Saccharomyces cerevisiae S288C: one gene and its partners. The gene in region 2 interacts genetically with the main gene of each other region. Each region holds a gene or a part of one and is shown on either strand. Other genes may lie near its edges.

Region 1 (6,711 bases), on a different chromosome or scaffold from region 2:
ATGCCAAGGGGTATGCAAGACTACAAGACTACATGGACAAATATATGAATCAGTCTTCCAAGCAAAGGATTCTGAAACCACTATCCACCATTAGACCGGCGTTTAGAACCATTGCGCGTTCATTGAAGGATGTTGACTTAGTTTTAGTGGAGGAGAGCTTCGAGAGGATGTTATTATCTTATGATCGTGTTTTCACCTCTATGAGCATGCCAGCGTGCTTGTGTAGGCGTACCGGTGAGATTTACAGAGCCAATAAAGAGTTTGCTTCACTGGTTGACTGCACAGTCGATGATTTACGCGATGGAAAGCTTGCGATCTACGAGTTGATGACAGAAGAAAGCGCTGTGAATTTCTGGGAAAAATACGGGTCCATAGCGTTTGATAAGGGTCAGAAGGCTGTTTTAACAAGTTGTAGTCTTCGAACCAAAGATGGAATCCGCAAACGGCCATGCTGTTTTAGTTTCACTATCAGAAGGGATAGGTACAACATCCCAATTTGCATCGTCGGGAATTTCATCCCTTTGTCATAAGCATAAGTAATACATAGTAGGTAATTGGTATTTCCAGCGTCATTAAAAAGCAAAGTAACGGGTTTACTTTTTCCTCAAGCCGCTGGCCCGAGCAGTTACTTGAAATAGCCGTATTACTACGAGCAATACGAAGACCTTTTTCTACCAGCATTTGTTTTTTTTCAAATCATTCCCATTATTACCCCAGGATCTTTTCATAATGCGGCGACCAGAGATAGGGAAAAAAACTGCGAACTGGCTGAATCTGATTTGGCGAAGGGCAGATTCTCGGGTATTTCTGTGAGGGTGACCGCCGTTGATATATATCAGTGACTTTTGGGAACCTTTATCTCATTTATTCTCAAGATAGAACTGTAACGAGGGTGAAAGAAAAAGAACTGTAAGATGACATCTATAGATAATAGACCTTTGCCGTTCATATACCAGTTCACAGCCGGTGCCATTGCCGGCGTCTCGGAGCTATTGGTGATGTATCCATTGGACGTGGTGAAGACAAGAATGCAATTACAAGTGACAACCAAAGGTCATCCCGCTGTTGTTGCAGCGAAAGCAGCAGTAGATCACTACACGGGCGTGATGGATTGTCTTACAAAAATTGTGAAGAAGGAAGGATTTTCGCATCTTTACAAGGGTATCACATCGCCTATATTAATGGAGGCTCCGAAAAGAGCAATTAAGTTCTCCGGAAACGATACATTCCAAACGTTTTATAAAAAGATTTTCCCCACGCCCAATGGGGAGATGACTCAAAAAATCGCCATATACAGTGGTGCGTCCGCTGGCGCCGTGGAAGCCTTTGTCGTCGCGCCTTTTGAACTAGTGAAGATTAGATTACAGGATGTGAATTCACAGTTCAAGACACCCATTGAAGTTGTAAAGAATAGTGTTGTGAAAGGTGGTGTTTTGTCACTTTTCAATGGGTTGGAAGCCACTATCTGGAGACACGTTCTTTGGAATGCCGGTTATTTCGGTATAATATTCCAAATTCGGAAGCTTTTGCCGGCGGCTAAAACAAGCACGGAAAAGACCAGAAATGATTTGATCGCAGGTGCTATTGGTGGCACTGTCGGGTGCTTGTTGAATACACCATTTGACGTGGTAAAATCTAGGATCCAAAGAAGTTCCGGGCCGCTGAGGAAGTACAACTGGTCCCTGCCTTCAGTGCTGTTAGTTTACCGTGAGGAAGGGTTTAAAGCATTGTATAAGGGATTTGCGCCAAAGGTCATGAGACTTGCCCCCGGTGGTGGGTTATTGTTGGTAGTTTTCACGAACGTCATGGATTTTTTCAGAGAAGTCAAGTATGGTAAAAAACAATGATCCTGACGCTTTTTATTTCATTTTGTTGTAGCCCGCCCATACATGTATACGTATATATATATATATATTTATTGGAAGTAAAAGTAAAAAACTCGCTTACCTAGCACATGTTTAAACAAGCGTTGAAATGAAGGAAATAATGAAAGTCTAGTTTTGTCTAGCGATAAATAGTGTTAATTAAAACAGCCTTTTACAACTAAAGAATATTTATATAATAATGATGCCATATACCACACATGGGAAAACAAATATATAAGGGGGAAGTGGGAGGATGAAAAAAGAGTAATGAAAATACTAGTAGTACCAGGTGAGGTAAAACAAGCACGTCCGTCCCGCTTTCACCCTGGAGAAATATATCTAGGAAGATATGCATGAGAAGAGGGAGAGAAAGGAAATGCTAGATTAAGGGAAAGAAATATGACAATATTAATGAGAAACATCCATGCTTGCACAAATTAAGTCCAACTTGTTGATTAGTGAGGGTTTGATCTTGTTCTTGTCCCGGTTATCTTCTTATTCATTACGATAACATGGTTGGAGTGTTTCTCTTAGATTTGTAGTCCTTAATAGCTGCCTTGATCGCATCTTCCGCTAACATAGAGCAATGCAACTTGACTGGGGGCAAGCTCAACTCCTTAGCAATTTCAGTGTTCTTAATTTTTGCCGCATCGTCCAAGGTCATCCCCTGTACCAATTCAGTCATATATGAAGAGGAGGCAATGGCGGAGCCACATCCAAAAGTTTTGAATTTGACATCTTCAATAACGCCAGTAGAGTCGTTGACTTTGATCTGCAACCTCATCACATCACCGCACGCTGGCGCACCCACTAGACCAGTGCCGACGTTGGGCAATTTTTTATCTAATGAGCCGACGTTTCTTGGATGTGTATAATGCTCTATGACCTTGGGATGATAAAGCCTTTTCGTTATGCTGGACGCTCTCAAAACCCCCATGGCATTCACAGGTCTGATGGCCATCAGAGCAGGCCTTGCAAATCTCGTTATAACAGGAAGCATCAGGTTAAATATGTGTTATGTGTTGTGTTTTCCTTATTCAATTGTTATATGAAGGGATGTTCTTATGGATTTAAGAATAATCTCTGAACACAAATATATATGCGGAAGAGCGAAGGAAGAGAGCAGAAAAGGCTACAACGAAACCCTTTCATTTACTTATATAAATAGCCTGAGTCATTTTTCCTCTCAATTTTTGCATCATCATGATCATACATGCTTTTTTTTTCCTTCTCCATGGCTAATTGGGGTGCAACGCACCTTATCGCCTTTGACGGCCTTGGCTAAGCGGAGATAAAGCCTCCGAACTTCGGCCCCGAAGGGATTGGCGCGGATATACACGGAAATAGCTTGTCATTTTTCCTTCGGTTGATGTCCGCGGACCGAGAAGTGGTGTTTCCACATTACGTCTCAGTGATGCAATCATCATGGCACGGGCATTAATTAAGGTTAAGGAACCACTTCTCTACGCCATACTCCAAACAATAACAATATTAGACCTAGCCAATTGATACCCATGAGCGTGCAGTCATTGCCATGGATTATTCATCTCTTTTCGCTGTTCTCTTTCTTTTCAAGTTTGTCATCATCATGCCTTCACTTTTGCCTTTCCATCTTTCTTTTTGCTGCAAAATAAAGGGAAGAGGGGTAAAAACGCAAGGAAGAACAAGAAGAAGAGGGTAGTGCAAGAAAAAGAAAAGAAGAAAAAAAAAAAAAAGTAATCTTGATACCGTGAGCAAATAAGCTAACGGAAAGCGTAAGAAAGAAGAGCGTGTTTTGGGAAATAACACCACAGCATAAAGCTAAAATTCAGTTTATATAATCTATAGTAGTCCTATAGAAATTGCGAATAACGGAAACAATAGTCCACCAAAGCAAGCATAGGGAGTGGAGATAGCATCTAGGTTATGATAACTAACACCGAGTTCGATGTGCCCGTAGATTGGTTGTATAAAGGTAAGAGTAGACGGAAGACAAATACGAAGCCATCGAGGCCTTCTACGTCGCCAGCCTCCTCTTCATCTACGTCCTCTTCGAAAAACGGAGACAATAGCACGAGTGGTAACAGGTCTAGCAATGATAAGCCTCGTGCGAGGTCGTCATCTGTATCCAATGCAGCACTTTGTAATACTGAGAAACCAGATTTGAAGAGGAACGATGGTAATACCTCTGCATCAGACACTGATAACATACCGCTACTTACTCCTATTAATAGCGGTAACCGGAGCGATTCCGCTGACATTGATAATCCGGCTACCGTAGACGCCATAGACCTTATAGATAATGATGACAACGGCTCAAGTACTCAATTTGTAAGGAAAAAACGTTCCACTTCTATATCCAATGCTGTGGTCTCGTCCAAACCAAGACTGGCCAGTTCTGCCATAAACGCCACCGCATCTTCTTCTGTTGGCAAGGGAAAGCACCCGCCAATTTCTTCACCATCTAATGCTACTCTCAAGAGAAGCAACTCGACTAGTGGAGAAAAGACTAAAAGGTCGATTTTTGGATCTTTGTTTAGCAAACGGTCTACCTCTTCTTCAGCTTCCACTGCCAAGAAACCATTACCTGTTGTTAATACTAGCACGACTGAGAATGAGTCTGGTGGCATTAAAGCAGTTGCGACTCCTGATCCACGGGTGAAGGAGATATCATCACCAATGAGAGGAGTGGCACCAACAGCTAGCAAGCCACAGACACCTATACTCCCCTCCCCTGCACTTGCAGTAAAAGACCTATCTACAGTTTCATTGAAAAGGGTCTCGTTTGCCGTCGATAAATTCGAATCCGATCCTCCCCAACAACTTCCTTCAAGAACCCCAAAAAAGGGAAACATCCTTATCCCTGATGACATGATAAGCGAGGTTCCTTCTATTTCCGTGGGTATTTCCAGTAGCAACCAATCGGCCAAGTCAACCAATTCCAACATTAAGGGACCGTTGTACACTAAGAAGTCTAAAGAATATATACTCGCCCTGGAAAATCAAAAGTTGGCTTTAAGGGAGGCTGCTAAGCATCAGCAAGAAGCTCATTTTGCTGCTAATAGAATAGCCTTTGAAGTAGCCAATTTTAAGACTGCTTCGGATGCAGGCGGTAAGCTTACTGAAAAGTCATCAGAAGGCACCATTACGAAGCAAAGAGAAGAGGTGTCACCTCCAAATGTTGAAGCTGATCGGGAGCTTGAGAATAATAAACTTGCAGAAAACCTCTCAAAAGCCGGCATTGATAAGCCCATTCATATGCATGAGCACTATTTCAAGGAACCTGATCAAGATAAGTACCAAGACGGTCATTCTATTGAAAATAACGAAGTTACGCTGGATGTTATTTACACAAGATGCTGCCATTTAAGGGAAATTTTACCCATTCCGTCTACCCTAAGACAAGTAAAGGACAAGACAGCTCCCTTGCAAATATTGAAGTTTTTGAACCCTAAGCCTACCTTGATCGATATTCTTTCCTTTTGTGATTTCATCACCATTGCTCCCATTCACACGATTGTTTTCGACAATGTAGCTTTAAACCAGGATATGTTCAGAATAATTATTTCTGCTTTGGTAAACTCCACAGTTTTGGACAAATTGAGTTTAAGAAATGTACGAATCGACCAAGATGGATGGAAATTACTATGTAAGTTCCTTTTGCTAAACAAATCACTGAACAAGCTCGACATTTCCCAAACGAAAATCAAATCTGACCTTGCTGAATCACTATATCGCCATAACATGGATTGGAACTTGTTTACTGACGTCTTGTCTCAGAGATCTCACAAACCTATAGAAGAATTGTTATTCAATGGTATTCAATTTAGCAAAATTCCTTACTCATGCTTTGCACGTTTACTGACATCCTTTGCTACCCAAAAAAACTTTCCAGAATCGGGCATCAGGCTTGGTTTAGCAGGTGCCACTACTTCCAATATCTCTCAGGATTGTCTGAAATTTATCTTCAATTGGATGTCTCAATATAACGTCCAGGGTGTGGATCTAGCGTTTAATGATCTGTCCACTATGATTAAGCCAATGGTTGGTAAACTATCTGCTCTATCATATGATAACTTAAGATATTTCATTTTGAACAGCACTAATATTTCGACTTCTTATGATTTAGCTTTGCTCTTGAAATATCTTTCTAAGTTGCCTAACTTGATTTTTTTGGATTTGAGTAATTTGTCGCAATGCTTTCCTGACATTTTACCCTACATGTACAAGTATTTACCAAGATTTCCGAACCTGAAGAGGATACATTTGGATAGCAATAATTTGACATTAAAGGAACTAGCTGTCGTTTGTAATATTTTGATTAAGTGCAAATCGCTCTCGCATGTGTCAATGACTAATCAAAACGTTGAAAACTTCTATCTAATGAACGGCACAGATTCTCCCGTTCAACAAACTAACACAGACGGCGACTTGGATAGTTCGAGCACATTGGACGTTAAGGGCCAATTTGCTAAAAATAGTTTTTCATCCACACTTTACGCATTTGCTAGAGACTCTCCAAACTTGATTGGTTTAGATTTTGACTATGATTTGATATCAGAAGAGATTCAATCAAGAATAGCACTGTGCTTGATGAGAAATATGAAACGGACCATGGATTCGACTTTCCAGTTAGATGAATTGGATTCGCAAGATGATTTGCTATTCGATGGCTCTTTAGTAACTATGACCGCTGAAAGTGTTTTAGAAAAACTGAACTTGTTAAGCGATAAGAGTACAAAGGTCAAAAAAGACACCACGAAGAGATATTTGCTGAAAAAATATATTGAAAAGTTCCATATCTTGCACCATAATGTTCAGCATACAATAGATACTATGTTCGAAAAAAGGAAATCAGGTGAATTGC
Region 2 (6,869 bases):
TCAAATCTCTGTCTTGAATGTCGTTGTTCTTTCTTCTTTCCTTAATCAAAGACATGTAAGTACCGGAGATAGCCTTTTGAGCGTGATCTCTCTTTCTATAGTGTTCCAATGGTAAGTTAGGGAAGACGAAGTTGATTGGAGTGAAACCCTTATCCAAATCACTGTACAAGTAAGCAAAATCGGTATCCAATTTTGCTCTCATTTCCTTACCCAATAATGATCTTGAAGCGGTGAAAATAGTCATTTCAGGTTGAGTAACCATCACGTCAATAGTACCAGTAGTTCTTTCATTCAAACGGAAGTTTTTGGAGTCTCTGAAGTACTTGTACACTTCTTCAGCAATCAATGGAACGTAGCTCTTGAAGGCTTCTTTGGTTAGAGCACCCTTAACAAACTTCTTTTGCTCCATCAATCTAGAATTTGGACAATCGTAAATAACACCTTTACCGAAAACTGGAGTAGTCAAATGAGCGTAAGCAGCTTCTGCTGAAACATCTGCCAACTTAGCGTTGAAGACAAATTCGTGACCCTTTGGTCCTAAATACACAGTCATGACTCTTCCTAACAAAACGAATGAAAAAATATCACCGTATTTCTTTTGACATTCTTCGAAAAACTCGTATGGCTTCATACCGTACACAACAGCACTACCGACCCATGGAATCCAGTAAAACACTAGAGGTGGACGGTCCTTTCTCAAAGAATATAGTAATTGCCATACAATATTGTAAATGAAAGGAATTATTATGATCAAAGAGATTCTTTGGGCCAATGGTAAAGCCAAGAAATGACTTAAACCAATGTTTACGTATTCCAATGCCTCTCCAACGATTGACTTGGTAGCAGACATCCTTGTATTACTCGTTTGTTCTGTTTCTATTCAAGCCTGCTGCAATTGTGAAGGAAAAAAAATTTTTTCTGGAAACTATTAATTAATATAATGAAAAATTATTACTTCCTATCGAAAATACACACGCTGAACGATACTGCTTATCAATCTTTTTATAAATAATTTACCAATAACGAAAAGGGAAAAAGGAAAAGGGAAAAAAAAAAAGACATTGAAAGAGAGAATTAAGAGGGAATAAGAAAACTAAGGGAAAATACGCTATCTTATATAATGAATACACATGGAGGGCAATTTTTAGAGGCTTTTCGAATACATGCGAGTACGTAAACGTCGTTAACTCGTGGAGATGCACAATAGGATGTGCTCATACCAAGAAAAAAAAAAAATTCAGGCATAAAATCGATGTCTCCTGCAAGATACCTACCACACTTATTGTGTTCTGCAAGAGACTATTGTCATCTGAAAAGCGATTATCTTGAAATCTTAGTTTCGTTTCGTTTCGTTTAGGGCCAGCGCTTCGTTTGTCTCGTTTTTCGTGGATTATCGGCCTTTAAGATTGTCCAACCCGGCAAATCTTGCACGCACATTGTATGTGCGCTGCTCGTATAGTATCCACTTCGTGTGACATTACTATAATCGTACGGCTTAGTCGGGAATAAAGGCTGGCCTCATTTTCGTACAGAGACATTTTGCCGGAAATTTCGTATTTTGCTGTGCCCCCGGTAATTCCCGGGCGCGGCACAAAACCTCTCTAAACAACCGCCCATTGTTGCAATTGTTCGTCTGTACGGGACAGGCGGCGATCATAACGTCGCACGGTGCACAGCAATTGCCGTTTTCGGAGATCTCCCTGAGTAAGCAGTCGTTTACGACCTTAATGGCTTTACAATTATCGGTTGGAACAATAACAAGAACAATTGGTTCTCTGCCTGGTGGTGAGTTAATCTGGTGGGAATGTAGTGCACAGGCGCGAGTAACGTAGGAAGCGAGAGAGAACAAGGAAAAAGAAAAAGTGGAGGAAGGTTGGTTGTATTGTCTTTTTCGGTTCTTTTCTTTTCTTTTTTTCTTTTTTTACGATGCATGTATATGTATTTTAATAGTAAAATATATTATTAAATAGGGGAGTGTGGTTGTGTGATTTAGTAGAGTAGTTAGAATAAAAACGACACAGTGGAAAAAAAAAGGTATTTTCTTTCTTTCTTTCTTCAGATCTTGCCAGCATCGAATCTTCTGGATGCTTCTTTCCAGTTGACCACATTCCAAATGGCTTTGAAGTAGTCGGCTTTCTTGTTTTGGTACTGCAAGTAGTAGGCGTGTTCCCAGGCGTCAATGGCAACTAGAGGAACTAGTGGGCCTGTGACGGTATCCTGGTTGTAGGTTTGAACAACGTCCAGCTTGCCTCCATTAGAGAGGTTTTTCACAATGAAGGCCCATCCGGAGCCCTGCACGCCTGCTAGCTTTGTGTTGGTCAACTTAATCAGCTCGTCCAGACTGCCAAACTGCTCGTCGATTGCCTTTGCCAAAGCGCCGGTGGGTGGTTCACCACCGCCCTGCGACTCTGGAGCCAGGTTTTCCCAGAATAGACAGTGGTTTGTGAAACCACCGCCATGGAACTTGATGTTTTGTTGGATAGCAATCATTTTTCTTGCGTTTGCGGGAGAGGGCTCCTTGGCCAGAAGATCTGAGAGTTCTTGGAATTGGTCAACAGCAGTGTTGAATCCGTTCACATAAGTTTGATGGTGCTTGGTGTAATGCAATTCGTTGATTTGACCGGAGATATAAGGTTCCAATGCACCGAAGTCCCACTTCAAGTCTGGCAAGGTGACTTTGGTTCTCCTTGCTGTGGTGGAGAGCAATGACAAACCACCCTTCTTGGTTAAATTAGCAGCTGCTGTTTTCGCGAACATCCTGGTACGTTTTTAGGAGGTATAGTTATCAATTGGGGTTTCGTTCCTGTAGCAGCAAGTGAAAAGCAATCGCTGTAGCTAGCTTGTATATTTTGGGGATGCAACGCTCTTATATACAAGTTATAGCTTCTTCATCAGGGGTGTCTGCTACGGTCGCGGAAATTTTTCGGCACATCCCTACTTTTTTTTTTGCGAAGCTAGTGGTTCGGCCTGTGTTATTGGTCCAGGTTTAAGGTCGCGCCAACAATGATAATAGCAATTAGTAATCAGCTCAACCTCAAGTAGAATACTACACGTGCAATCGGTAGCATGCGCAAGGGCAAACAGGATAGACGCCAAGAGAGAAAGAGAAAGAGAGAGAGAGAGAGAAAAAAAAAAAAGAAATATATAGATTTAGGTATTCGTTAAATATATACACATTAAATGGCCTCAGAAATTTTAAATATATAAATAAATAAGCTCTTATATGTACAAATTTGTGCATATACTTTTCTTGACCTTTTTACTCCTCGGCTTGATTAAGAAAGGATGGTGGCGTCGAAATATAACTTTGGATCCAAACTTGAGATTTCCGCAGAGGTTGCTTCGCCATCAAGGAGAATCTCAGCCATTAATTTACCTGTTGCTGGCGCATTGTTAATACCCCAACAAGAATGTCCACTTGCAATATAAAGATCCTTGACATTTGTCTCACCAATTAAGGGACCAGAACTTGTAGGAACGTTTAAAACTGGCAAAAAACAGGCTTGTTTCCGCAAGAGATGGCCCTTTGATAGAGTTGGCGATAATTTGGATACGTAATGGTACAATTCATCACACTTCTCCGAAACTACCTCCACATCGTCCGAACTTTCAGGTATATTGACTAAAGTGTCGCCTTCGCCGCACACATAAACTTCATCTTTTCTAGCATACATTTCAGGGGAGAAAAATTCACGGTCGTTAACTTTTAGTTCAGCAAGAATAGCGTAAGGTGAAACTGTCTTTTCACTAGGCTTAATGGTGACAGAGTGGGCTCTCAATCCAGAAATTGGACAATCTTTTAGAATCTTGGAAGTCCAGGGTCCCATACTCAAAACAATCTGCTGGATGTCATTGATTTCAATGGGCTTCGCGTTCTCATCGTTGAAGATTGTACCCAGCTTAATGTCTGGATTTTCTGCATGCCCTCTGCTATTTCTGCGATTCTTGACGACAGATGGAAGGTACTTAAGAGAATGAACACAATCCATCTCGTCACACTTTAGCCCAACTACCTTACCTAGGAGAAGATCGACAGCACCTGTTTCCATTGCCTTCGATAAGATGAAATGGGTGAATTTATAGGGATGAAGCTGCGCTGTGGTATCAGTACCACCTAGTGATGACCAATCATTAACCAATTCTCTTCTTATCCAATCTAAATCAGCAGGCAAAGGATTATGGATATTAGTCTCTCTCAGTTGCTCCACGGGACTTACAGAGTCAAGATCAGATGCGCTATTTGTGTGGCTTCTCATGCGCTCATTTGTTAGAGAGTGTAAACTGGGTACTGAGCTAGAAACATGAATGTCTGATCCTTCTTCCTCGTTACTAGCGGAGTCGTTTTTCAAAGAAGAGCCCGAAGAACTCAAAGATGAATTAGAGTCCCCGATGTTAAACTTGTTGGATATGTAGCCCGGTCTCTTCTTTGGAGGAGGGACATTCAGATTATATGCCTTCTTGCTCAGTCTTTCGTAGTTTTCAATGACTTCTTCGCGAACATCTGCTTCTAAGGACACAGTCGTCAATCTTCTGTAGTCCCAGTTGTTTTCTCCATCATATTCATCACTCAACTCCTGATGTAGCTGGAAACTTAAAGGTACGATTTGGTGAGGGAAAGCCCAAGATGCAAGCAAGCCACCTGCTTTACCAGAAGCCCCTCCAGCAATGCGCCTCGATTCAATGATGGTAATATGATGCGTCGAAGGGCTGAAACTTGGATGCTGGGTCAAGTAGTAAGCAGTACAGCAACCGATGATACCGCCACCTACAATGACAATATGTTTTTTCCCTTCGCTGTTCTTTGAAGGGTACGTTTGAAACGGTGGGTGCATAAAATCTTCACCCATTTATAAACACTATTCCTTCTGTTGCTTGGTTAAAATGCTATTGATACTTAGATGGTGTATTGGAGAGCACGAAAATCTTTTGCTGAGTGACTTGAACTATCAAACAGAATTACTTGTTGGCTGATTTTTTTTAAGTCTTGATTTAACAATAGAAAAAAAAAAAAAAAAAAAAGGAACAATATAACTTTTGTAGTACGTGTGCCAGGTTACAGATATGGTTTCACTTCTATGTCGTGCTTTTTTCATTCATACGTAATCTTATGCATGTAGGGGATAGACGCACAAAAGCACCAAGGCTGCATGTATTGATAAATTGGCTTACACGATTCCAGCTAAGGGGACTCGGACGGAACCGTCTCATATTATACGTTCAGTGAATATTTTTCACGGAAGAATGGAAAGGGCCTCGAAAGACGTTAATGCATCCGTACACCTACATCTTTACATTTTTTGCTGTTGCACCTACACTGTTTTTTTTTTTTTCACCTTATGAGTCCTGTATTTCTTGAAAGAGCCGATAACAATATTCCAGGTGGAGTCCCGAGGCAGAATCAAGGCTGCGGAGAGAAGTTCCTCTCAAACTAATGGGAGTGATCCGCTCAGTTCTCCCATCACGACAGAACTGTCTGAGACAAAGTCTTTCCAGCAGAGCTCCGCCTACGCTCTTGCTGCAGAGATTCGCCCGAAGGCAGGTTTCCTGAAATTCTTTTCACTAGTAAAGTGTTCGTTCATGTAAAACATACTGCCGTAGTTTTGAGCTAAAATTAAAGATATATTAGATTTTTAGAATTTCTTAGATAGTCTCAACGTGTTAAAACAAAAGCATAACCAAAGAAAAAAATGGCTAAGTTCTTGAAAGCTGGTAAAGTTGGTACGTATCATTTTCAGTTTTTGGACATCAACAAAAAACCGTGCAACTGTGGTATTAGAAATCCAAGTTATTAGCAGTTGATGTTGTATAATTTGAGTTTGAATTCGAGTATTGTATCTTCATATGGGAGTAGGGAGGAAAAAGCGTGGAGATGTTAGATCTGGGAAAAAACCTTTAAATTTGAATGATAGCTTATTAATAGAAATATTGGACAAAAAGATGAATGATTTAGGAGCGAAACTAACGATTATTCATATTCATTGAGCTATACGAGGCAGTGGAAGGGTTATCAAAAAGTTGTAATTTAAAAGAAAAAAGCATCAATAGCCACCAAATAAGATGGTGAAAGTTCCGCGATATATTTGCTAAGACCATAGGCACATGTACGCAGGCGACCAGGGCCTTTTATTTACTGTAGTTCTTTCCATGCCCTATTAAAAATTCGTGGGCCTATGATAATTTTTCTCTCCCTAGTATTGAAGAACAAAATTGAGAATTCGCCAAACTTTAAGAAGGGTTCACATTTACTAACTATTTCTTTTCCTTCCTTTTTTTACACAGCTGTCGTTGTCCGTGGTCGTTACGCCGGTAAGAAGGTTGTTATCGTTAAACCACATGATGAAGGTTCCAAGTCTCACCCATTTGGTCACGCTTTGGTTGCCGGTATTGAAAGATACCCATTGAAGGTCACCAAGAAGCACGGTGCCAAGAAGGTTGCTAAGAGAACCAAGATCAAGCCTTTCATCAAGGTCGTCAACTACAACCATTTATTGCCAACCAGATACACTTTAGATGTTGAAGCTTTCAAATCCGTTGTTTCTACTGAAACTTTCGAACAACCTTCCCAACGTGAAGAAGCTAAGAAAGTCGTCAAGAAGGCTTTCGAAGAAAGACACCAAGCTGGTAAGAACCAATGGTTCTTCTCTAAGTTGAGATTTTAAGAGAATTGCATTATGGTCAACCAAAAATCAAAAAATTATTAGTAATATCAACATATGTATATTTAATGTATGTAAACAATGATTAAATATTAATAAAATATATCTACATATAAGTATACGCAAATGGGGTTTTTCTTCAAAAAAATTGTTTGCTGGTGTTTTCAACCTTAACGACAAAACGAATCATAACGCGGTAAAGGGGAACGATAA
Region 3 (8,966 bases), on a different chromosome or scaffold from region 2:
TAGTCAAAGAACGTGATTTAGCTGCAAATAATTTGAATGGTGAAGTTGTCTCTGTGCCAGGTGGCTTACAAAGTGATTTCGTTCGAATTGCGTACGGAGATGGACTGAAGAATACAAAATTAGGTTCTGGTGAAGGGGTCTTGAACTATGATTGGAACATAAAAAGGAACGTTTTGAAAAGTCTATTTAGTATAATTGATGATTTACAATCCTAAGTATTTTCATTTACGATGTATGTAAGATTTTTACTTATTTTTTTTAAAGTTTTGGTCGTTGAAAAAGGATTCAGAACAGGCAAAGATTATATATTAACGATATATATGAAAAATGAATGACAAATTTATAAGGAATAAGTTGAACATTAATAGCTGAGAAAATTAAAACATGGAGAATAAATATATTATAGAAAACCAAAATTTTTCTAAAAGAAACAATATTATTACAGGAAAATATTCGATAAAAATTTTTTTTGAACCCATTTTGTATATCATTTTCTTGACCTATGATTCAGCTAATTTAGTATTTTCCATTTCTTGAGTGCATGGAATTTTTTTATTTAAATGTTGCAGAACATGGTCTCTTCTCTTGAATCTTTTACCGCATCTTGGGCAAGAATGGGGTTTCTCACCGGAATGAACTGACTTTTTATGTCTTGTTAGATGGTGACCAGAGGAAAACTGTCTATTACATTCCCGACAAATGTAAATCTTACCATGATCTGACATAATGACCTCATTTTCACCGAACTTAGAAGAATGCGCTTGATAATTGTTGCCGTTATTGTTCATTGAAGATGTACGATAGTTATCATTATTATTAGTATTATTGTTCAAGATTGATGGATTAGATTCTTGCTTGTTACCCGTGAAACTGTAATCAAAATTATTACTGTCCAGATTGCTATTATCATTACCGTTGAGTATTTTGGGTTTTTTGTGGAGAGGAGAAAAAGATGGACCTGCATCTAAGGGATTAATATTATTACTATTTTGGCGAATTCCAGTACCGTTTGAATAATCGTTGATTGTGGAAGAATACATGAGTGGATTGCTTACACCCAACGGAGATCTATAGTCATTTACAAAAGAAGATATAGGGCTCTTTGAAGCTTCTCTTGAAATATTTAATGTAACCACATTATTCCTCTTGAGAAATGGGATGTTAGATGTTGAAGGTGATAAGGGTGCAAGACCTGAATTTAATGGATTTTTGGAGTTGGTCAAATAAAGAGATAGGGGATTCGGACTGTATGTTGGATTAGGGGACACTATGGATAGATTGTGAGGCGCTGATGTAGTTGTGGCAGCAGCCGTAGTCACACCGTTAGAATAGCTGTTGCTACCGTTGCTACCATTACCACTGTTGTTGTTCATCATATTGCCATTATATGAGGTGTGGCCGTTCGGATTCATTGGTGACGACAGCGGCGGTAACGTCAATCTTGGTGACGCAGTAGCGCTGTTAGCCAGTGTCGCTAAACTTAAAGCTAACATATTGTCATCGTTATCGCCGCCTAGACCTGAAGTCCCATTTAAAGTGGACGAATGCATCATTGAAGAAGGCACAGTGGAAACGTTATTATTACTACTACTATTATTAGCGCTATTATTGGTACTGCTAATGTTATTATTGATAGATGCGGCTGCAGAGGTGTTAATGCCATTGGCGTTAACATTATTGTGGTTTTGGCTGCCATTTGTAGTTGTCGATGGGTTGGTTGATGTAGCCGTTATATTAGATAGTAAGGAGTTTGTATTAGTTAGAGAAGGGGTGCCAAAATTACTAGAATTAGACGGAATATTCATCTGCGGTAATTGCGGAGTTAAAACTTTCCTTTTGAACTTGGAACCCGGATCATCCAAAGTGGGTTCCACAATATTTGATAAGTCCATCATCCTTGATAACAACGGGGAAGAAATTCTGCTTATGGTAGTTTGATTCATGTTCAGGAACTGGTTTACACCATTAGGGGTAGTAGACCGAAGAGAACTACTTTGCGGTCTGTTCATATTAATATTGGAGAACAAGGGGTTCTTATTGTCTTCTAAATTTTGTAACTCTTGAGAGGAATGGTTTAGTAATTCATCAAAACTTCGAACTTTTTGAAATAAATCGTTATCATTATCAGTAATGGAGCCTCGTTGCTCCGACTCATTAGAATCATAAGATAAATTTGAAAACGGACCAGATTTTCGCTCTTCCTTCTTGTTTCCACAGCCGCATTTTAAAGGTTGCTTTCTAACGACAGCTTGCTGATCTAATATGAACTCAATAGATTCGCCAAAATTGTAACCATAATTGAATCCGGAGTACATGCAATAAGGGAAAGTAATGATGAATTCATGTTGGAACTGCACCACTCTATTAAATTTTATATTATTTTTTCGCAAGAAATCGGGAGAAGTTATGATGTTTTGATGTCTAATAAAAGCTGGACAATTTTCCTTATTACTTGATGGTTCCTTTGATAAAATTTTCAAAAATTGGTCTGTGTTTGCGGACGGTATGGAATACCATTGTTTGGGAGCACCGAAATGCAAGTAGTTTATAGAGCATTTATTCTGTTCGTCCAAATGCCATGGAAAAATGCATTTAGACTGACCAGTAAGTAACCGTCTGTTACTTGAGTTTATAGAATCTGGCAAATTATTCAAATTCCATAAAGTTAAATCATAGGGGAAAATTGAAGAGTTTTCGTCCACTGCATAAAAAGGTTTCGAAAAAGCGATGGTTTTCCAAAAATCACTTTCTAAAATTTGTAACTGTGCCAAATCATAACAATCCTGCTGACTATCTACGCGGCAATTTTCCTTTAAAGTTTTATCATTAAAATCACCTTGACTTATTCGAGAGTCTAGACTTTCGGCCAAGTTCTTCCACTGTGTTAAATTGTACGACTTATTGTCATACTCGTTTTCGATGCTAAATACACCGTTTTCATGTTTGTCCCATCGCTTGGCTTGTTGTTGAATCGGGGAGTCTAGTTGTATAGTCTTTAAACTTTCCGCAGGAGGTGAGCCTTCTAAAAGCTCCAGCCATTCTTTGGGAGGAATGACTTTGACAATACCATTTTCTATTCCGAATTTAGTAATTTCATCAATGAAATATTGGAAATTTGCAAACTCCATCATAGACGGCTTAAAAACCGGAACGCCATCAATAACCTCAACTGGCTTGATTTCCATTGTAGTCTGTTTTTGTAGCTATTCTTCAAATTAAAAAAAAAAAATTACAACGATGTTGTTCACTTTGTAGAAGCAAATACTTTTTAAACGCCCAACAAAGAAACAAATAGTGAAAAAAATTGAAAATTGGAAAAAATTGGGAAATGGAGGTTAATGATGAACAGAAAGGAAAAACGATGAAATATGTGGTGGGCAAAGAGTTTCTGTAAGCAAGAGACTTAGCGAAACAAAAAAAAAATACAACTGGCCAAACGTATTATTACTTGGCTATTTTCTTCCTAACAGACCAACTTCTTTTGCCTTCTGTATGGCGGGAGGAGGAGGGGGGAGGTTTTCTTCTTGTTTTTTCCGTTAACTTTTTCCCGATATGCGTAGAAGGATAATAATTTCAAATACACAACTCACACACGCGTTTGTACTTCTACCTCAACACAAACGATAAACGTTAAAAACTTCTCTTCAGTAAGTAGTGGTAATAATCCTAAACAGAGAGAAAATACTGTTTTCTTTTTCGGTTTGCTATTTTTACCTTTCCTTTCCTTTCTCTTTGGTGAAAAACCGGATCGGATGTAAACGTAAATGCCAATTCAAGGGACCTGTAAGACAAGAGAATGCGAAGCGGTAATAGTGGCAGTTGTAACCATTTTCTAGTCTTTCTCCGTAAAGTAGTTACTTGCCACAATGCCGCCATAGTGCGGAAAACAACGAAATATAATTCCTTGAAGCACAAAACGCCACCCCTTCCCCTTGCCCTTGCCCTTGCGGACGCCCTTTCCCCTCAAAATTTTTTTCATATTACGTCTCCGGCTTCGCTCTCTTACTCTTGGCGCCGGGCGGACCCCGGCAGGAAGGGGAGAACCCAGCCCCTTCCTACTCAAGGCTCTGCGCGGCGTTTTCTCCACACCCCACAGGGCGGGGTAGAGCCGTGCCGGGTGATACACATCATCACATCCTATATGAAATCTATATCATATCACATTGGTATACATAGTACAAAGGAAGAAAAAAATTGTAATCATTAACGGTCCCTGCTGCGCTGGCTGAGCAGCGTCTCTGCATGATTGATACCCGGCAGATCCAGCGAGGCACGTGCTCTTTCCACGGAGTATCTTGTGTCCAGTTGGTGGTTGGCAAGCATCTCTTCTCTTGTGCGATCCAGCGAAGTTCTGAGCTTATTTCCGCGGGCACTGGCCATTGATCTTCTAGGCAAGTTGTTCGTTGTTGTAACGGGGCTGAGCTGGTCACGGCGTTCCAGAGTGGTAGAGACACGGTACCCCTTGCGCGAGCCTTGCTCACCATTGAGTATACTCATTGGTATTTCCTCTGTGACTATGGTCTCTTGTGAGTGGCTGACACCATCAAAATGAGTGTCCAGTGAAATGGGCTCTTTGAAATCTGTAAGGGGACGTATTTCGTTTATTCTGGGCCTGCTAGGGTCCGTAGGGTCGTAGCCTTGTGGGTAGAGGTCAAAATCACCGCGTAACCACATTTCTCTAACGATCTCTATATCTTTCGGATAGAATATCTTTCTGATACAGTCAATGGTGAATCTTGGCAGTAGGCAGAACAGCACGCCAACGAAAAGTACTGCCCAATAGGCAGGTTGTGCGAATACACGCGCCGCACCCTTGTAAAATTCGTTACTTGACGACGAGCTTGTCCATATACCCGTCCAGCCGTAAAACACGGCCAGTGATAGACATATGAATAGGCCACAGAACCAGTCCCATCTATACTGTTCCATGAAGACGTAAAAGTTACATGAAGTGACTGCAATTGCTGTAACGAAGACACCGACAAAGTAACGGTGGTCTAGTCCAAGGCCATTTTCAGTTACAACCATGTTTTTATGGTACGCCAAATAGGGGAAAAAGAAGCATATCACAGATTGGTATACACCATCCAACATGTACCAAAGAAATTTGGTTTGGTTCCATTCTTTTCTTAGGATACCCACACGGTACAACTGTGGCACCAGCATCGAAACGGTGTCGGAAACATCTTGGTCGAGTACTGCTAGTAAAATAACAGGTACGGATGTGAATGCAAGATTGTAGAATGTCAAGTACGTATACTCAAACAAATACGACCCATCGAAATTATTGTAAATACCATACCAGAACAGGGATAGCGTAAAAATAACGTTCTTGTAGAAAAACTGTGGGATCATCTCTGCCAGTCTCTTATAACACCATTTACCATGCACCAATACCAGTCTTGTCACATATCTGAACTGCCCGATGGCATAATCAGAACACATGACAGCTTGTCTGCCTTCTTCACCCGCGATACCAACACCAACGTCCGCCGATTGAATCATGGCTACATCATTCGAACCATCACCAATGGCCAAGGTCATAACGTCTAAGGTCTTTTTTACCAACTTGACCACTGCAGCCTTTTGTGCTGGAGAAACTCTGCAACACAAAACAGCTTTACAATTCTTACACAGTAGCAAGAACTTGCGTCTCATTTCTTCACCATTCAAAGCAACTTTTAGCGCATCGCCATCGATAATGACAGCAAAATTTCCCTGTGGCAAACCATGCTCTCTTTTAGCTTCTTTTAACTCCTCCTCGGATCCACTCATGCCAAATTTTTCCCTTAAGTATTTTGTCACCAAATTGTTAACCACTTGAATAGGGTCACTACCAAATTCTTCTACATCTTCGCCGGAAGCCTTCACAACCAATAATTCCATATCATTGTTCAAAACATTGCAGGAAAAACCAATGTTAATGGCAGTTTCCACTTTATCACCCGTTAGGACCCATAACTTAATACCGGCCTCGGCCAAGAGGGCAATCGAATCAGGAACACCATCTTGTAAACGATCCTCAATGGCCGTACCACCAAGCAAAATAAGCTCACGTTCAATAACGTCAGTAACTTTGTCCAACTCTTCCTCCCTATTAGTAACGGATGCAGCGGCCACATCATAAGTCTTAACCCAACGTTCATACTCGGACCACGTGAGCTCTCTTTGAGCCAAACATAATGTTCTTAAACCTTCTGTGGCATATTCTTCCAAATGGAGGGCCGTCTTTTCCAACAAAGTAGCGTCGTTTTGAGTGCGATCTAATCTTGAATAGATAACGGAATCCGCACCTTTACATATTAACAGTGCTTTAGGTTCATCCTTTGGTGTAGAGCCAGGGATCTTGATAATGCAACTCATCCTTTTTCTCGACGAATTGAATTCAAGTACGTTCAGAACTTGGAACTCCTTTTGAACACCCTGGATCTCTACTATCAATCCACTTTTTGAACTACCAACGAAACTGTACCCTAATTGTCTGGCGGTGGAAACTAAGGCAGACTCATCAGGTGATTGAGCCTTGATGTCCAGTTTTTTAGGATCATCTTTATTTGGCTCCACAAGGACAGAATGACATAATGCGAGCGCCAGCAAAAAGTGTTCACAGCACTTTTGTTGATGGTCGCCACTGGATCCTTTCAAGTCTTCCACAATTTCCTTAGATACAAAAGTTAAATCCTCCGGACAAAACTGTGTATTATCACTCATTGATCTTAATTCGTCGATCATTGTTTCCCTATCTTTTGCTATCTCTTCCTTTTCGCGACGACCTTCCGATTCGACATCAACACCTTGTCTCTTCCTCAGGCCTGCTAGTGCCTCCGTATAGGCACGTCCATAAGACACACCGTTAATAGTACATTTTTTGAATTCCATCACATTTTGTGTCAAGGTGCCTGTTTTATCTGAAAAAATATACTCAATTTGACCCAAATCATCGGAGATGTTCCACGACTTTGGTGTACATGGATAGTCTAGCTTGGCATTATACAACAAAACATCAGTGTAAATGAAAATAGCCTGTGCTGTCTTAATAATTTCCACAGAAATATATAAAGAGATCGGAACCAATGACTGATAAAGAATAACCGCCACCCAAAAAGAAACAAAACCGTTAGTTGAGGCAGAACCTCCAATGGTACCAAATTCAAAATAATCTCTCGATCGAGGTTTCTGTTTATAATAAACACCGTTAACAATACCAGCAGTGAAACATAGGATAAACAATAGTACAAAATTCAAAATCACAGAAAAATTCAACTCTCTTGAAATTCTGGATTTTTTGGTTGGAGTGACACCAGCGTTTATCATAATCTTGGTATCGTCACCAGTAAAAATAACCATACCCATGGCCCACTTAGTGTTTCTCAAGGTACAACCTCTCAATAATAAGTTATTGATATTTACAGGCTCATTTCTGATGTTTCCATTTTGTGTATCTTGCCATTTGAAATTACCTTGATAAGAATACAAGTTGGCATGTGGGCCTTCACTTTCAACCCAAAACTTCGTCCTGGTAATATCCCTTGAACTCTTAATAATCTTGCTACATTTTAATGATTGACGGACCTTTAGATTTGTTTCACCATCCAAATTTTTGGTTTCCACATAACAAGCGCCATCAACATCTGATGTCGATAATAAGATCATATCAGCAGGAATTTCATCGTTATTGTGAACACGAACAATATCACCAACTTTAACATTTTTCCAGTAATCCTTGGCAAACCTACATTCAGGGTTTGGCTGTAGCGTTCGATCAACTAAATTTTCACCATCGTTATACCTGTTAGCCTGTGACATTGTTTGATTCAGGTTCTCATAATCCAAAGAGGGACGACCAAAGTCGGCAGACATTCTGTAACTACCAATTGAATCCAGAGACCCACGTGGCCCAAAGCTTCTCGAGTTCCTCTTCCTTCGTAATTCTTCCCTTTTTTTCTGTAACTTCTTTTCTCTACCAGCAGCAGTGAGGTTTTCTGAAAAATACTCAAAAATTTTAATCAATGCCCTTGTATTCGCTTTCTTGAAACGCCTCCATAAGGAAACGTTATCAACAGCAACATTTTCATTCTTCACCCCGCTTAAGATATGTGTTCTTGTATTATTAACTTCTAAATCCAATACAGTCCTTCTGGAATCTTCGATACCATCCTTAATAGCAGTGATAATTACGATGACAATTAGGGGAACGGATGCAAAACCTGGATTTGTCACACCAAATATTTGAAAAGCACCTAGAATCAACAGTATTAAAAAGTAAATATTGGCAAAATTATGAAATTGGAAAAGAATGTTCTTGGGAAAAAATGTTAATGGAGTATACTTCGTAGTCCTGATTTTATTACGCGGGTAAACTGCCAACGGTAAGCCGTCCTCGTCAAGCATGTCCTCCGGCAAGGGTAAATTATAGTAAACTGTTCTCAACTCATCAGACCTATTTTGCAAGGCTGAATTTTCGAGACTGTCTTCTTTTGTACTGAATTCATCAATAGCATTGTGGAAGTTCTTCTTGGCCCATTTCAATGTTTTTGACCTATTTATATCTATCCTACCTGACTTATTTCTTCTTGTACCAAAACGTACTCTTTTCAACTTATGATCTGCCTGGGAATCATTGTTGCTACCTTCATTGTTATCCAACTCAACATCCTCAAAGCCTCCAGTATTAGGCATAGGTGTTGCCTGGAACGAATGGAGGTCATCATCCACCTCATTTTCGTGTTCATGTATCTCGGTTTTTTTACCATTGAGTTCATCATCATCATTAATATCATTATCGTTACTATAATCATCGATTCCATCAAAAGTAACTTTTGAGAGATCGGGTGTGCTAATATCTTTCATTGGCTTAGATTGTCGCTTCAAAACAGAACCGCCGGTTTTCGCTACTTCAATATTTCCATGCGCACTACTGGGTTTTTCAAATTGAAAACTATCGTCAAATGGTGACATGGACGACA
Region 4 (7,487 bases), on a different chromosome or scaffold from region 2:
AGACACAGGGTACGTATGTCCTTATTCCTCTTTTTCTCCCCCCTCCCATTGACAATTATGATAATGACATAAAGTTGTTTATATATTTTTGTTTTTATATAGATGCTCATTCAGGGTTTGTTATATACATAGACATAAGAGAATAACTTTTTTTCTTTCTGTATTTCATTTTATTGTTTATAATGTTTTCCTCTACCAAGAAAATAGGGAGAAATGGAAGATAAAGAAACACTCTCCTCTATTCCTGTTGATATTCAGATTCAGGCTCGCTGTCGTTTGAGTTCGAGTCTATGCCTGATTCTCCGTTGTCATCGTCGTCAGAACCATCACTTGAAGTAGAGTTCTGTGCTTTTTCCTCGGCTTCCACTTTTAATTCATGCAAGATATCAAAACATTCTGCTAATAAAGCATTCAATATACCTTGGCCTTCAGGTATATTGCCATCAGAGTCATAGAATATACCTTCAGTTCTCAGGTTGTCCAATGAAGCCAATTTCATTTGATAAGGGTATAACTCTCTTTCATTATTCACACCTCCCATTCTTTTCAATTCTAATAGGCAACGACGAACTGTAGATAGTTGATTGTGAATTGGCTGCAACGCTTCAGATACGGGCTCTGAACTTTCCAACAGTTTATAAATTATGGCATAACATCTACGCAACAGGTATAAAAGTATTGATTGCCCCTTTGAGTCCTGAGATTTTGTTGGAAACTTACCATTGATTCTTTTGTTATCAATTTCGTTCAATTTTTTTTGGTAAGAAAATAAATCGGTTTCTCTCAAAGTCCATCTTCTTGTGATCATTAAATTTTCTAAGGTAGTCTTTATATCAATCAGCTGTTCATATATTGGCTGTAAATATGGATCTAAAGTCAACCCGCCATTTTTTTGGTGTGATAAATCGTTAACTAAATCATGGCAATCATCCAATAAACCATTAAGGACACTTTGGCCTTTTTCTGCCACCTGATGAGACTCCAAGGACTTGAATTTACCAGAATCGTCACGATTAGATTCTAATTCACTTAATTCGTTCTTCAAAACTGATAATTTCTCATGGACATACTCTTGAGATACTAAATGTTTGTCATCCGTTAAGCTTTCATTGTTCGTTTGCAAATCATTTTGTTCCTGCAATAAAGAGTTGGTATTAATATCAGATTTAGACATTGTTTTTTTAGCAGATGCAACTAATGACAATAAACCTCTTCTAATTCGGAATAACTTTTCCATTACAGTAGACAAAGACGGATCAATTTCCTCCAATTTGCCTTCCAATATATCATATTCGTCCTTGCAATGCTTTAATTTAGCACGTAGTAATAGGTCTTCCTCAATTTTATTCTTTTTCCTTTCGTTGTCGATTTCCCTTAATCGGTCATCATTTCCATCCTCATCGTACGCAGGACTAGAGTTTTTTTGTTCGACAATCTTGCTGATTTCTTCCAGCCTTTCCTTAATAGGACTCAAATCGTGATGGGTGAAGACGTTTGATTCATTTAAATGTTCCAAAAGACTCTCCACAGTAGATAACGATGCATAAGTCGCAGGTGCAGAATTTTTTAGCCCAACAGTTAAAAAACACAACGAGAGCAATTGAAAGACATCATCCAGTACGGAGTCAACTCTATTATGCAATTCAGTACTATGAATCAGGGTGGCGGCGCTCTTAGCGGGCGTCTCATGACTATTCTTCCTAATATCGTCCAACTCTCTGACTTTGGTCAAGACGTGTTGGTAAGTAGTTTGGACATCCTTAGAGTTCAAATACTGGGTCCTATTTTGCTTGAGTTTAGCCAAGGAGGATCTCACTTCAAGGAGGTAGTTTAATATGGATTCCTCTTCCTTAGGAACAATTTGAGGGTGTTGTTGTCCAGCGGATGCAAACATGCTCTTTTTAGACAGTTATTCTCTTCTAATACAATTTCAGCGTTTTAAAAATTGGGAAAGTCCTCGAAGATTTAGTAGTTCTTTTCCTTTGCTTTTGTTTGTTTTTAAACCGATATTTGCTGCTAAACTTCTTAAAGAGATTTGCTCTTCTGGTGTACTCTCTTATTCGTTATCATTTCTGAAAATTCCCCTTTCCGTGATGCGGGTAATACTAGGTCCCTTACCCGACGACAAGAAATTAAAAAATGACGCAAAATATTCATTTATGAACTATTTTATTATAACTTGTATAGGAATAATAATGTAGTGATGTAAATTTATGGGCCCCATTAAGCCATCAAAAATGGAATGTATGCCTATGCTCCTCTTCTGACATAACTGGCCAGAGGCGGGACCTTAGCGGAGGGACCATTGCTGAATCACAAATTCTCTCCACTTCCTTATTTTCCTTCATATAATAAGACATAAAAAACTTGTATATTATTAGGTATTTAGCTCGTTTATTTAGGACCTAGCATGTGTTCAGGAACAACCCATTCATCAAATTCCTTTTCAGTCAATACACCCAATTCCAATGCACTTTCCTTCAAGGTAATGCCCTTCTTATGAGCATTCTTGGCGACCTTGGAAGCGGCATCATAACCGATCTTAGGGTTCAAAGCGGTGACTAACATTAAAGATTTAGTCAACAACTCATGAATACGAGGCTCATTGGCTTTGATACCTTCAACACAGTGCACTCTAAATGAATATGCGGCATCAGTAATTAACCTGATCGAATTCAATAGATTGGCGATCATGACTGGCTTGAAGACATTTAACTCGAATTGACCTTGAGAGCCGGCAAACGTGATAGCTGCATTGTTACCCATGACTTGCACACACACTTGAGTCAATGCCTCGTTTTGGGTTGGGTTAACTTTACCAGGCATGATTGAGGAACCTGGTTCATTCTCTGGCAGCATTAGTTCATGGTAGCCGCAACGTGGCCCGGACCCTAAGTATCTTATATCTTGCGCTATTTTGAAAAGAGAACAAGCAAGGGTGTTTAGAGCACCGCTACATTCGACAATGGCGTCGTGAGCAGCCAAAGCCTCGAACTTATTAGGGGCGGTTTGAAACTTTAGTCCAGTTTCTTTGGAAATTTGCTCGGCTATCTTGACATCGAATCCGGGCTTGGTGTTCAACCCTGTACCAACGGCAGTACCACCTTGTGCCAGGAAACTCAATGTTTTCAAAGAATGTGCCACTCTTTGGATACCGTTCTCAACTTGTTGCACGTAACCGGAAAACTCTTGACCTAGTGTCAAAGGCGTGGCATCTTGCAAGTGTGTTCTACCGATCTTCACAATATGGTCAAATTCCTTGGATTTGGCTTCAAGGGCGTTCTTTAAATTGGTCAACTCAGGTATCAACTCGTTTTGAATTTGCAAACTGGCAGCGATATGCATGACAGTGGGGAAAGTATCATTGGATGATTGAGATTGGTTGCAATGATTGTTTGGATGGACTTGTTTAGATCCAATCTTGCCTCCTAGGATCTCAATGGCACGATTGGAAATAACTTCATTAGCATTCATGTTAGACTGGGTACCGGAACCCGTTTGGAAAACAACCAATGGAAAGTGGTCGTCTAGCTTACCAGAAGCCACTTCGTCAGCGGCCTGTTGAATAGCCTTGGAGATCTTGGGATCCAATCCCCCCAGAGACTCATTCACAATCGCGGCAGATTTCTTCAAAACACCAAATGCATGCACCAAAGGCAATGGCATTCTTTCACGAGCGCCACCAATCTTGAAGTTTTGAAAGGATCTTTGAGTTTGGGCACCCCAGTACTTATCAGCAGGCACGTGTATCTCACCAAATGCATCGGTTTCAGTTCTGAACGAGGAGTTCATTCTTCTTATATTAAGCTTATATGACGATTTTACGAAAGTCTTGCAACTACAATTGGTAAATCTCAACATGATTGTATCTCTTATCCGTTTAATAGTTAGACTTTATGGAATTTCTTGACGTGAGAAAAAAAACAGCTGCAGTACTAAAAGTCACGAATTTAAAAATGCAAAAAAATGACTGTATGTAATGGAGAAACGATATGAATATCCCAGAAGAAAGAGCTAGAGTCACTCCCCCGTGTGTTCGGTCCGGCCTCCTGTTGGATGCTTGTTTAACGTCTACAACAGTGATGAAGATTATATATAGCCTATAAGAAACGCAAAAAGGCTTTACAGGAAAGAGCCAATCATCGAACGCCCATTCCGGGAATCGGGGTAGTCATTCCGAGGATCGGCTCAGGGGAGGGGCCTGAAGCCTCTCCAATATGGTAGTGATAGCAAGAACTAGAGACATTTACTGCTAGCTTCCATAGCTCTCTAACCACAGGGTACGAATAATAACCATTATTAGGTACTGACATTATGATGTCGCCCGCGGCGATTCGGAAGGGTTTAAGGACACGTCTTAACAAATGGCATTACAGAATGGCTATAGGCGACTCACTACTATGTATTGACTATGTAGGAGATACCAAGCTTTGCTTTACGAGCCCTCTTTACTTTTTTTCTTGTATAGTTATAGTTAATGTAGTAGTCGCAATAACTGCGGTAGTAGTACTAACATCAGTAAAAGTAACGCTTGGTAGTTTTTCTGCCCGGTTTAACCATTGATTTGATGAAATTGTAGAAAACTGAAAAAAAAAAAAAAAATGAAAAAAAAAAATGATGAGCTTCTCGAAGAATACATTAACCACTTATAGGAAGGAGAAGAGATCTACTAGACTCGTAGAAGTGATTAATGGCAAAGAAGAATAAGAAGGATAAAGAGGCCAAAAAGGCACGTGCTGAACTGAAGAATCAGAAAAACCAAAAAAAGCAGGAGAAAAAGTTTCAGAAGAACAAGAATAAGTCTTTAAACGGCGAAGAAGATGATGAAAGTGATCAAGATCTCGATGAAATTCTCTCTAGCTTTAGCAAAAAGCAAATTGAATTAGAGCATGTAGACATCACTTCTGTGGAAAAACCCTCTTGTCGTACTCATCCGTTGATGTTTGCAAATCCGCAACACAATAAACATGAATTGTTCATTTTCGGTGGTGAATTTACAGATCCAGAAACCAAACTAACACATTTCTATAATGATTTGTATTCATACTCCATAAAGAACAACTCTTGGAAAAAATACGTTTCGCAAAATGCACCTTTGCCCAGATCCAGTGCCGCTGTCGCTGTGCATCCTTCCGGAATAGCACTGTTACACGGTGGTGAATTTTCGTCCCCAAAACAATCTAAATTCTACCACTATTCTGATACATGGCTGTTTGACTGCGTTGAAAGGAAATTCACTAAGTTGGAGTTTGGCGGTAGAGACTCTTCACCCAGCGCCAGATCAGGTCATAGAATTATTGCTTGGAAAAACTATTTCATATTATTTGGTGGATTTAGAGATTTGGGGAATGGTCAAACTTCTTACCTAAATGATTTGTGGTGTTTTGATATCTCAACCTACAAATGGACCAAATTGGAGACAAACAGCAAACCTGACGCTAGATCGGGTCATTGTTTCATTCCTACAGATAATTCTGCCATATTAATGGGTGGTTACTGTAAAATCATTGCCAAAAATAATAAAAATTTAATGAAGGGAAAAATCTTGAATGATGCATGGAAACTGAACTTAACGCCTGATCCAAAGAAGTGGCAGTGGGAAAAATTAAAGAATTTCAAGAACCAGCCCTCACCAAGAGTCGGGTATTCGTTCAATCTATGGAAGCAAAACAAGTCCGTTGCTTTTGGTGGTGTCTACGATTTACAAGAGACAGAGGAATCCTTAGAGTCCGTTTTCTATAACGACCTATATATGTTCCACCTAGAGTTGAACAAATGGTCTAAACTTAGAATTAAACCTCAGCGTCAAACGAATAGTAAAAATTCACCCGCCACAAGTAAAAGAAAATCTAATAAAGATCAAGAAAAGGAACTGCAGGATTTACTAAATTCCATTCTGGCCAAGTCTAATCTAAATGACGACGACGATGACAATGATGACAACAGCACAACGGGTCCTAACTCTATCGATGACGACGAAGATAACGAAGATGACAGTGATTTGGACAACCAAGAAGATATTACCATCTCAAATCAATTACCTCACCCAAGATTTAACGCAGCAACTTGTGTAGTGGGCGACTCGTTGTTCATTTACAGTGGTGTCTGGGAACTGGGCGAAAAAGATTATCCTATAAACTCATTTTATAGTATAGATTTGAACAAGTTGGATGGTGTCAAGGTTTACTGGGAAGACCTATCTGCCATCGAAGAAGCAAAGAGACTAGGTGATAGAGATTCGGACGAAGATGAGTTTGAATACGAGGACGATGAGGAGGATGAGGACGACGGCGAAGAGGAACAAGATGCAGGACCCCTTGAAGGTGATGAAGATGAGGAAAGCGAGAGCGACGATGACAAACAAGCGCAGATGGAGATTCCAGACGAAAGGTCTTGGCTACCACACCCAAAACCGTTCGAAACTTTAAGAGCATTCTACTTAAGGGAAGGTGCAAATTTCTTAACCTGGTCTATTTCTAACAACAGAAACCTTAAGGGTAAACAGTTAAAGACGAAGTCATTTGAGTTATGTGAAGACCGTTGGTGGGAAAGAAGAGATCAGGTGACCCTTGAGGAAGAGCGTCTGGAGGATACAGGCGGAATCATTGAAAGAGATACGACTACTAAACCTTCCAAAAGAAGGTAAACATTTTCGCTTTTGTAGTTGAGTTTAAAAAGTATTTATAGCATTTTTTTTTTTTATAGATATCTGTCTTCCATATGGCATCCTTTTCTTTAGTCACTAATTGAGTCATCTGGAAAAAAAAACAAAGGAGACAGGGAAAATTATCTCATTATTACATTCACGAAAGCTGCCCCAACAGAAAAGTAGAATAAACACCTCCTCTCTCAATGACGCTGCAAAGAATTAGTAAAGATTATCTAAAGCCTAATTATGGACTTATCTTACTTATAGTGTCTTATTTTTTCAATTCTTCTATGGTAGTTTCTACCAAAGTCCTAGAAAATGACCCACTGGAAACTTCGCAATCAAGAATTAATCCTCTGCAAATCCTGCTAGTAAGGATGTCTATCACGTACTGTTGTACGCTAGTATACATGCATTGGAATAAACAAAGTGTTCCAGATATTCCATGGGGCCCAGCACCATGCAGGAAATGGTTGATACTCCGAGGTATAATGGGTTTTTTTGGTGTTTTTGGAATGTACTTTTCTTTAATGTATCTAAGTATAAGTGACGCTGTCTTAATCACCTTCATGTCGCCAACCCTAACCATTTTCCTTTCATTTTTACTGCTGGGTGAGCCATTTAGTAAACTTGAAGCCTTGGGGTCCCTAATTTCATTTTCTGGAGTGGTGTTAATTATTAGACCTACATTTTTGTTTGGTGAGCAGACCCAAGGCCAGCAATCTCCACAAGACGATATTGTTGAGACTCAAAATCCCAAATTAAGACTCATTGCTATCGGGGTGAGTTTATTGGGGGTTTGCGGATTGAGTAGTGTTTACATTATCATAAGATATAT

Evidence for each region.
Region 1: mutations in SOD2 (region 2) and ISU1 together harm fitness more than expected from each alone (negative genetic interaction), as found in Saccharomyces cerevisiae (2 studies listed by BioGRID).
Region 3: of SOD2 (region 2) and GIS1, changing one suppresses a phenotype caused by changing the other (phenotypic suppression), as found in Saccharomyces cerevisiae (2 studies listed by BioGRID, with this or other methods).
Region 4: mutations in SOD2 (region 2) and FUM1 together harm fitness more than expected from each alone (negative genetic interaction), as found in Saccharomyces cerevisiae (2 studies listed by BioGRID).

Annotation. Positions count from the first base shown.
Region 1 is NC_001148.4:293,707-300,417, reverse strand, and holds ISU1 (iron-binding protein ISU1), read right to left. Parts: upstream 2,866-6,711; coding exon 2,368-2,865; downstream 1-2,367. Other genes in the region: gluconeogenesis transcription factor RDS2, read left to right, coding at 1-530; ODC1 (mitochondrial 2-oxodicarboxylate carrier), read left to right, coding at 915-1,847; protein phosphatase regulator GIP3, read left to right, coding at 3,771-6,711. UniProt on the Saccharomyces cerevisiae protein: Scaffold protein for the de novo synthesis of iron-sulfur (Fe-S) clusters within mitochondria, which is required for maturation of both mitochondrial and cytoplasmic [2Fe-2S] and [4Fe-4S] proteins.
Region 2 is NC_001140.6:120,834-127,702, forward strand, and holds SOD2 (superoxide dismutase SOD2), read right to left. Parts: upstream 2,758-6,869; coding exon 2,056-2,757; downstream 1-2,055. Other genes in the region: ERG11 (sterol 14-demethylase), read right to left, coding at 1-850; YHR007C-A (uncharacterized protein), read right to left, coding at 1,717-1,932; TDA3 (Tda3p), read right to left, coding at 3,276-4,847; 60S ribosomal protein eL27 RPL27A, read left to right, coding at 5,688-5,718, 6,280-6,659. UniProt on the Saccharomyces cerevisiae protein: Destroys superoxide anion radicals which are normally produced within the cells and which are toxic to biological systems.
Region 3 is NC_001136.10:631,358-640,323, reverse strand, and holds GIS1 (histone demethylase GIS1), read right to left. Parts: upstream 3,186-8,966; coding exon 501-3,185; downstream 1-500. Other genes in the region: mismatch repair ATPase MSH6, read left to right, coding at 1-215; aminophospholipid-translocating P4-type ATPase DNF2, read right to left, coding at 4,204-8,966. UniProt on the Saccharomyces cerevisiae protein: Transcription factor involved in the regulation of gene expression upon nutrient starvation. Recognizes and binds to the post-diauxic-shift element 5'-T[AT]AGGGAT-3' in the promoter region.
Region 4 is NC_001148.4:43,710-51,196, reverse strand, and holds FUM1 (fumarase FUM1), read right to left. Parts: upstream 3,862-7,487; coding exon 2,395-3,861; downstream 1-2,394. Other genes in the region: CUB1 (Cub1p), read right to left, coding at 239-1,894; YPL261C (uncharacterized protein), read left to right, coding at 1,893-2,201; KEL3 (Kel3p), read left to right, coding at 4,691-6,646; YPL264C (uncharacterized protein), read left to right, coding at 6,853-7,487. UniProt on the Saccharomyces cerevisiae protein: Catalyzes the reversible stereospecific interconversion of fumarate to L-malate.